Linked DNA regions of Daphnia pulex. The protein of the gene in region 1 binds, or shares a complex with, the protein of each later gene. Links are inferred from orthologs where the notes say so. Each region holds a gene or a part of one and is shown on either strand. Other genes may lie near its edges.

Evidence for each region. The genes of interacting proteins can lie anywhere in the genome.
Region 2: RNA-binding protein spenito-like (region 1) and N6-adenosine-methyltransferase non-catalytic subunit-like share a complex: the UniProt entries of both Drosophila melanogaster proteins name them as parts of the WMM complex. The link is inferred for Daphnia pulex from reciprocal best matches to the Drosophila melanogaster genes nito and Mettl14.

The regions. Positions count from the first base shown.
Region 1 is NC_060023.1:11,551,284-11,555,319, forward strand, and holds the start of RNA-binding protein spenito-like, read left to right. Parts: upstream 1-1,228; 5' UTR 1,229-1,370; exon of another isoform or gene 1,371-1,455; 5' UTR 1,456-1,504; coding exon 1,505-3,806; intron 3,807-3,872; coding exon 3,873-3,886; 3' UTR 3,887-4,036. Other genes in the region: mitochondrial inner membrane protease ATP23 homolog, read right to left, coding at 1-104, 164-349, 421-502, 571-616, 689-875. UniProt on the Drosophila melanogaster protein: RNA-binding protein that acts as an associated component of the WMM complex, a complex that mediates N6-methyladenosine (m6A) methylation of mRNAs. M6a modification plays a role in the efficiency of mRNA splicing and is required for sex determination.
Region 2 is NC_060026.1:13,578,769-13,582,357, forward strand, and holds N6-adenosine-methyltransferase non-catalytic subunit-like, read right to left. Parts: upstream 2,350-3,589; 5' UTR 2,220-2,349; coding exon 2,186-2,219; intron 2,127-2,185; coding exon 2,017-2,126; intron 1,949-2,016; coding exon 1,659-1,948; intron 1,599-1,658; coding exon 1,382-1,598; intron 1,322-1,381; exon of another isoform or gene 1,318-1,321; coding exon 1,108-1,317; exon of another isoform or gene 1,048-1,107; coding exon 875-1,047; exon of another isoform or gene 815-874; coding exon 568-814; 3' UTR 505-567; downstream 1-504. Other genes in the region: ABC transporter G family member 20-like, read left to right, coding at 1-233; DNA topoisomerase 2-like, read left to right, coding at 3,406-3,429, 3,568-3,589. UniProt on the Drosophila melanogaster protein: Non-catalytic component of the WMM complex, a complex that mediates N6-methyladenosine (m6A) methylation of mRNAs, a modification that plays a role in the efficiency of mRNA splicing and is required for sex determination.

The DNA of each region.
Region 1 (4,036 bases):
TCTTCTTTCGTGACGTCTGGACGGACGGCCATCACTGAGCCCAATGCTTTCATTTTGACGCATTCGGCGTGTTGTTTACGGATTCGGAAAGGCGAAGCGTCTCCCTGTAGATTAAAAAGCCATATAAAAGGTTGCTCAACGTTTTGATCACACACTTTTTTACCTGAAACATGGCCGACATGAAACTACAATGGGTCAGGTTAGCTGCTCTGATTTCCGTGCACGCCAAATGGTGGATATTTTTAAAATCAAGTTGGTGTCGACATGCGTCAAACATGTGAATCATTTCGTGTGTCAAAATTCCTTGAATTATTCCCTTGTTCCGAACTACATTCTGGCATACTACTATCTATAGACATAATCAAAAGATTATCATTATTAATTGAGAAAAAAGGACTATTTATTATCTGTAATATTTACTTGATTAAGTTTTGGATCATAGCCACCAGAAACCGAGACATCACAAACTTCACAGGCAATGTGTCTCCTCAAATCAATTTCACTATGTCAAAATGCGAGAAGATATTGCAGCATAAATGAAATTTAAAAAACCTTAATTTTATTTCATACCATCCAGATGATTTTAATGCACTGTACATTAACTTAACAAGAGGACCTAAATGAATCAAATGGAAGGATTAATTTACAACTGAATTTTGTAAGAAAACGTAAGTTCAGAGATGTTTACTGTTTTCAAAGCAATTGTAGACATTCCTTTCACATGTAGTTTTTTCTACATTGGTTTGACCAGCACCAAACAAAGCAATCTGCCACCATTTCGCACGTGCAGCTTCACCCCTTCTTTCGGGGTACAAGTCGTAACCCCAATTGTCTTCTTTGTCCACAGGTGCAGCTTCCGATGGTTTATCCGACATAATTATACACCTAGACTAGAAACATGCAATTAACACTGAATAACAATACATGCATCGTAGTAAAGTTTACGATGTCTTTACTTTTACAGGTACTTAATGAGGTTGTTTTGAATTTTTGCTGTTTTTAGTTGTCCGTGTTATTCAGCAGACGACAGACTGCCGGCTGAATGGCTTTACAGCATTGTGTGGAATTTGTTAAAATATTGATTGATATATTAAATTAAAAAACAAATCAAAATATTTCCCAATTAAAATAAAGAGTTTAATTGGAAATTCTCGATATTAAATTCTTAGGTATAAATTGCTAAAATGTAGCATTTTGCAATGCTGCCACGGAATGAAACCCCACCCCCAGAAGCTAAAATTGTCAAAGCCGAGTCCAAACTCAGAATAGAGCTCCGCCATTTTCTTCTACTTGTTCGGACGCGTTCTTTTTAAGCTCTGGTTCGGTGAGAAATACTCGTTGCATAACTGTTCGCAAGACCCACTTTATTGGTTAGTGTGTTTAGTTTTTCATCCATTCTCAAATATTGACGTGATTGTGAAAATGTCGTTGGTGATAATTCATCTTTGTTGCTAGGTTTACGTTGTTTAACATTGAATCGTTGATTGTTTGACAAGTCTTCAATATGAAACGCGTGTCCGACCGTGATGCATCGCCTTTCAGCAAACGCTCTCGTTCAAGCCTAGGCCATTATGATGAAAGCTCTGATGATGAGAGAGGTGGAGCTCCTCCTCCAAGACGTAGGCGTTCACCCAGCCCCAGTCACCGATCAAGATACCCTCTGCCTCCCGATCCACCAGTGATGAGGGAACGAGATGACTACCCACCACCAAGGTCTCGTCCACCACCCCCATCGACTGGTTACAAGACTCTCCTTGTCAGCTCAATCCATCCCAAAGCCAGTGACGAAGTTGTCAAAGACTCGCTCTACAGAGAGTTCAAAAAGTATGGTGAGGTTAGCATCAAGTTGGTGCACGGTGCTGAACCAGAAGACCGTTTGGCCTATGTTTCATTCAGAAACCCTGAAGATGCTCGTGAAGCCAGGCACAGCAAGCAGCGAATCATCTTGTATGACAAACCAGCTGTGCTCGAACCTGTTTACGAACCCTCTACCGCGCGAAGCACCAGGGCGCGTTCACGAAGTTATTCACCGTTGCCATACCGAGGCGAAGAAGAGCGTTACATTCGACCTCGTTCCCCAGATGATCGACACCGCATGTACGACGATCGTTACGATTATTCTCTGCGTGGATATGGTCCTCCACCTCCAACTGGCATGTACAGAGACTATCGTCCACCACCGTACGACTATCCTCCCCGTGGACCGTCATCTTACCGTGGTCACTCTTATTACGGCGCTGGAGGACATCCACCTGTCCCCCATTATGAAAGAAGTGAACGAGGTGGAGGTAGTCGAGGAGGTGGTGGTGGAGGCGGTGGAGCTGGCGGCGGCGGAGGTGGAGGTGGAGGAGGTCGCAATGAAGAAGGAGGCGGTGGAAGAGGAGATCGAAATCACGACCGCTACGAGAACAAGAAAGATCGTTTCCCAAATTATTTGCACCACATCCCGCCAGAAGAGGATCCATTGGCTACTCGGACTCTTTTCGCCGGTAACCTGGAGATCAACATAACAGAGGAAGAGCTGCGTCGCATCTTTGGCAATTACGGCATCGTCGAGGATGTTGACATCAAGAGACCGCCTCCAGGCACTGGCAACGCTTACGCCTTTGTTCGTTTCGAGAATTTGGACCAGGCCAATCGGTGTAAAGTCGAGCTTTCTGGCCAGTACATTGGCAAATTTCAAGTCAAGATCGGTTACGGTAAAGCCACGCCCACTACACGCATCTGGGTCGGAGGTTTGGGCTCGTGGACGTCGCTGGCACAATTGGAGCGTGAATTTGACCGTTTCGGCGCCATTAAGAAGATCGAATACAACAAAGGAGACACGTCGGCTTACATTTTGTACGAGACGATTGAGGCAGCTCAAGCAGCCGTTCAGGACATGCGAGGCTTTTGTCTGGGCGGCCCGGATCGGAAACTGAAAACTGACTTTGTTGACACCAATCCCCCGACAGCTCATCCGCCAACTGCCAAGACTAAAGGATCGTCTTCTTCCTACGATGCTGCCACCGCTAGAAGTGGAGCTGGCGACGATTATGCCGGCGAAACCAACTGGAACAATGGAGATGATCCCAATTATCGTGCGGGATCCGGTCGGACGGGTCGAGGAAACCGAAGTGGCTACGAGAAGAGGCCTAGCGGATATCGAGGATCAGGAGCCGATGGTGACGATTGGTCGGCAAACAGCAGCCGACGTCCTCCACCGGATGATTTTGACGCTGCCCGAGGAGGTTCCCGATCGCCGTCGAATGAAAGGCGAACCGACGACGGTGGAAGATTCACTGGATCCCGTACGCTGGCGGAAGTGGCTCGACGTTCTCCCAGCAATTGGACGGGCGCCTTGGTACTCAAGAATTCGTTTTTCCCCACGAAATTACACGCGACATCTGGCGAAGCGGCGATCGCCGATCTTTTGCTTCACGACGAGAAGAACCAGCCTCATTTGCGAATTACTCAGCGATTGAGGTTGGATCCGCCCAAACTGGAAGACGTTTCCCGTCGAGTTTCAGCTTCTGCGTCTCACGCCATCTTCCTCGGCCTGCCCGGATCGACAGGCGGAGCTTCCAGTCCCACTTCCGACGAGGCTGCAGGTGTCCAGAATCGTCCGCTTCGCAATCTCGTGACTTATCTCAAGCAGAAAGAAGCGGCTGGTGTCATCTCGCTGGCCAATAAGAATGCAGATGTGACTGGCGTCCTTTACGCCTTCCCTCCTTGCCCATTCGCTGCCGATCTACTCCGACGAGCAGCTCCGTCTCTGTCTGACGAGACTCTAAAGGATGATCACTTGGTGATAGTTGTAGTTAAAGGTATATTCAATCATTTCTAACTATCGTTTCATATTTTAATATCTTTCAATTGTATTATTTTGACAGGAGGAACTGCTTAAAACACAAATCAATCGACAACTGATTTACTACCATCTCTCAGACAAAGCCCGCGCACACCTTTAATCTTCTACCAACCGCTACCAAGATTTTTCACCAGCATACGAACGACATCTGGGTTTGGCCGTTTTGTTATCCCTACAAACAAAACC
Region 2 (3,589 bases), on another chromosome or scaffold:
TACTGATGGGAGGCATTTGTTGGCCGGTAGAAGGGATGCCTCCGGCATTACAAAAGGTTGCCCGTTTCCTACCGGTCACGTATGGCATCGAGTGTTTGAGAAGTATTCTTTCCCGCGGTTGGGGAATTGAAATGCCTGATGTCTACATGGGATTTTTAGTAAGCTTTGCATGGATATTTGGATTGACGATATTGACGTTGACAGTTATTCGCTACCGCAAATTTTCGAGCTAAAACAGCCGGTCCATCTATAAGTGAATCAAATTTCCAATTCGTAAGTTATTCGTATTAACAAGTATGCCACGGTTCATTTAACCTATTCTGAATTAACAAATAGCTGTCAATTTTTTGTCTAACTCTACCAAACAATATTAATTTTGCCTGATACCAATGGCAATAAAGTTATCAAATTGTTTTGTAATTTAAACAGAATCATCTATTCGCGTCATTTCCTTAAATGCGTTACACAATTTTATCTTAACTTTCGAAGTGTTGCAAAACAGAATTGAAAACTCAAAACGTTTATTTGCAATTTAATGCCTTAGAAATTAATTAAGTAATGCTTATTTCATCTTCCCCTGCCACGCGCTGCGCCCCGAGTAAAACCTCCGCGTCCACCTCCTGCCCCTTTGCTGCCTTTGGGTGGAGGAGATTTAGGGCGAAGAGCTTCAATCCTTTCTGTGCATCCGGTAGTCGTACAGTTACTATTAAAGTAGCCAGCGTATGTTTCTGCGTTGTAGTTGCTGTTTGTTAACGCTGGACCAACCGTCAACCAACCCGGTCGAATAGTACTGTCTCGCCCGAATAAGTGGAGCCTTAAAAATTAATTATTAATTAAAATTCTAATGAAGTGACCGTAAAAATAAATTCCTAACCTCCTTTTGCCAAGACAAAAATGTTCAATGATGTTGAAAATTTCGGACGGTTTCTCCAGAGATCCATACTCGGGTTCTTCCGTAATTATCAAATCGATATCGACATTGGCATGGATGAAATCTCCGTCCGTGGAACGCCTAACTGTTCCTTTGATTCCCATCAGACAATGCTCCTACTCAAAATCAGTACATCAGTAAAAGCATTTGGTTAGACGAAATTGAAATGGTCTTACTTTGGTTCGCTGGAAAACGGCTTTCTGCTCGAGGTTTTTCGAATGACCCGGAGCGTCTGCATTGGTTTTTATCCAGCAAATGTCTTCGCATCGCCGGAATCCCCATCGGCGCAAGCACACACGCCCCAAGTCTAGTCCATCACTGGAACCACACCACAAAAATATGAAACTCCTAGGAGCAGCAACTTCACCTATGTCGAGTTCCATAATCTAAGCGGAAAAAGAACCATTAATTCACAATCATTCATTATATTGTGGTTCAATATATATTTACCTGATCCCATGACAAAAAATCGACGTTGGTCACACCCAAAGAACGCTGGTATTCTTCCAAAGGAGGTTCAATGAGGATCACGTCAAATTTACAACCAATGTCTTTGAGATTAAACGTTTTTAAATCGGATTTCAGATACATGGGAGGCGAAGCTGTCTGGGCGATTAATTCATCTTTCAACCGAATAAGTTCCTTGAGCTTGGGATATTCTTCAAACCTATAAAAATGGTTAATTTAGTAGGTAATTGCTTTAGGGAAGATTTGCCCAATCATTTACCTATCAGCCAAGCCAACATCTCTTATAAAGTTTTGGGGTCTCTGTCCAGTATCAACAAAATGTTGGCAGTAATCATTGTGAGGGTTGGAAGACTGTGTTCCTTTTAGAAAGGTTGACGAATCAGTGTAAAGCAGTTTTGTCTCTTCGTCTTGTTGACTTCCGTCGGCATTAGCATTCTTTTTTATGTATTTCTCTGAAGGTCTAAGTAATTCCATTCCTGGTTCTGCTTTGGAACTATCTGTGCCACTTCCCAATGCCTCTTTCAATTTCTCCACTGACTGCATTCCCAACTGGTTAAAAAAACGTAAGCTAAGATTGAAAATGTGAATTTTTAAACTAAAGCACAATAAATACTCACGGTCTGTACGAGACATTGTTTCCGTTTTCTGGACAATTCTCTTCTCTGTTTTAGAAGGTCCACTTTATCCATATTAAGAGAGTTTTCTTCTTCTGTGACAGTTGTCTCTGCTAAAGGGAGAAGGCAGTGATACAGATTGTATTGATTCAGCCACTTAAATTGATTTCACCTTGTACACTGGAATTATCCACATAATTTGCCATTATAGATATCAAATGCTTAAATACCGACACAGTGCTCAATGTTGACTGTGGAGTACACCTTTAACATATCAAAACATTTAAAAACCCTAACCATTCAATAGTCCGCCATTATTATTTACCTTAGTTGCCGCTTGTAAATCAATGTCTTGTTTCGATATTTGATGAAAAGGGCAAAATATACTTGCAAGCATGAAATATCAAAGCACTTAATTTGAATTCTATCGGTTAAAATAAGATTTAAAATAATATTGATTAATTAATTGAAACCGTCAGCGGCCGAATTAACCATGGCCGAACTCCGGTATTTCAAAACTCAAAAATTTAAAATTTCGAAAGTCATTTGCAAGTTGAAATATATTAAAATTTTAAAAAGTATGCAAACTGAATACATTTGAATATCTGCATGTCACAATATTACAGAAAAAGCAAGCTCCGGCAAAGATGTTTCGGCTCGTTTTCGGCACATCAGCGATCAGCGGGATTCCTCATTGTTGCTGTTTAGTATCTACCAAGGGCAAAATTTACACGCTGTGTTAAAAGTGAGCAGAGAGGTACCGTCAGTGTCTCGAATCTTTGAGAGAAACGCGCCCTTTTCACTCTAAACTGAAGCGAAACAATCAAAGACATTACATTAGAGCTCAACCAGCATGGTTTGAGAGTTTTTCTACACGGAAAAGGATCGAAAAAGCACCTTTTCGTTGTTTTAGATTCTATTTATTCACAAAGTAGTACGGCTTTCTTCACAAATTTACAAAGTTGTTAAAGCACAAGTACTCATCTGAGTCGCAGACAATCTTATTTTTTGGCTTTTTAAAGTCAACAGGAAAAGGTAAGCTTGTTTTGTGTTGTCAAGTGTTAATTTATCAATTAAATCATTGTACCAAAAAAACCAATGTAATGTAACAGTATAACAGTAAGGGGTTTCCCAACCCCTTTAGACATCTCTAACAACCAATGAGAAACAAATAAATTTTTTTGACTTGGCGGTACCGAGTGGCAACGTTGTAGTTTCACTCAACGTTTCCGTTGGTTCGAAAAAAGTCGCTTCGAAATTTCAGTTTCACTCGACGCGTCGACAGTATTTTAAACGGCGTTTTTTTATAGTGGTTGTCATAGTGTATAATTTCCTAGGCAAATAGCCATTCTGTCCCTTTTATCGAATTTTAAGCTTATACTTTCGCCAAGGATGGCTTCTGATGGGCCATTAAAGGTAGTTGTTGAATGAAACTCACATGCTTTCAAGGTTACAACATGAATGTTTTGAAAGAAATTTTGTGATCCAAAACGTGACGTCTTACTATTCTTGATGTGAAGTGTGATCTAACATATTGTTTTTTTTTTTTTTTAGTCTTTGTTTGCAAAAATGAACA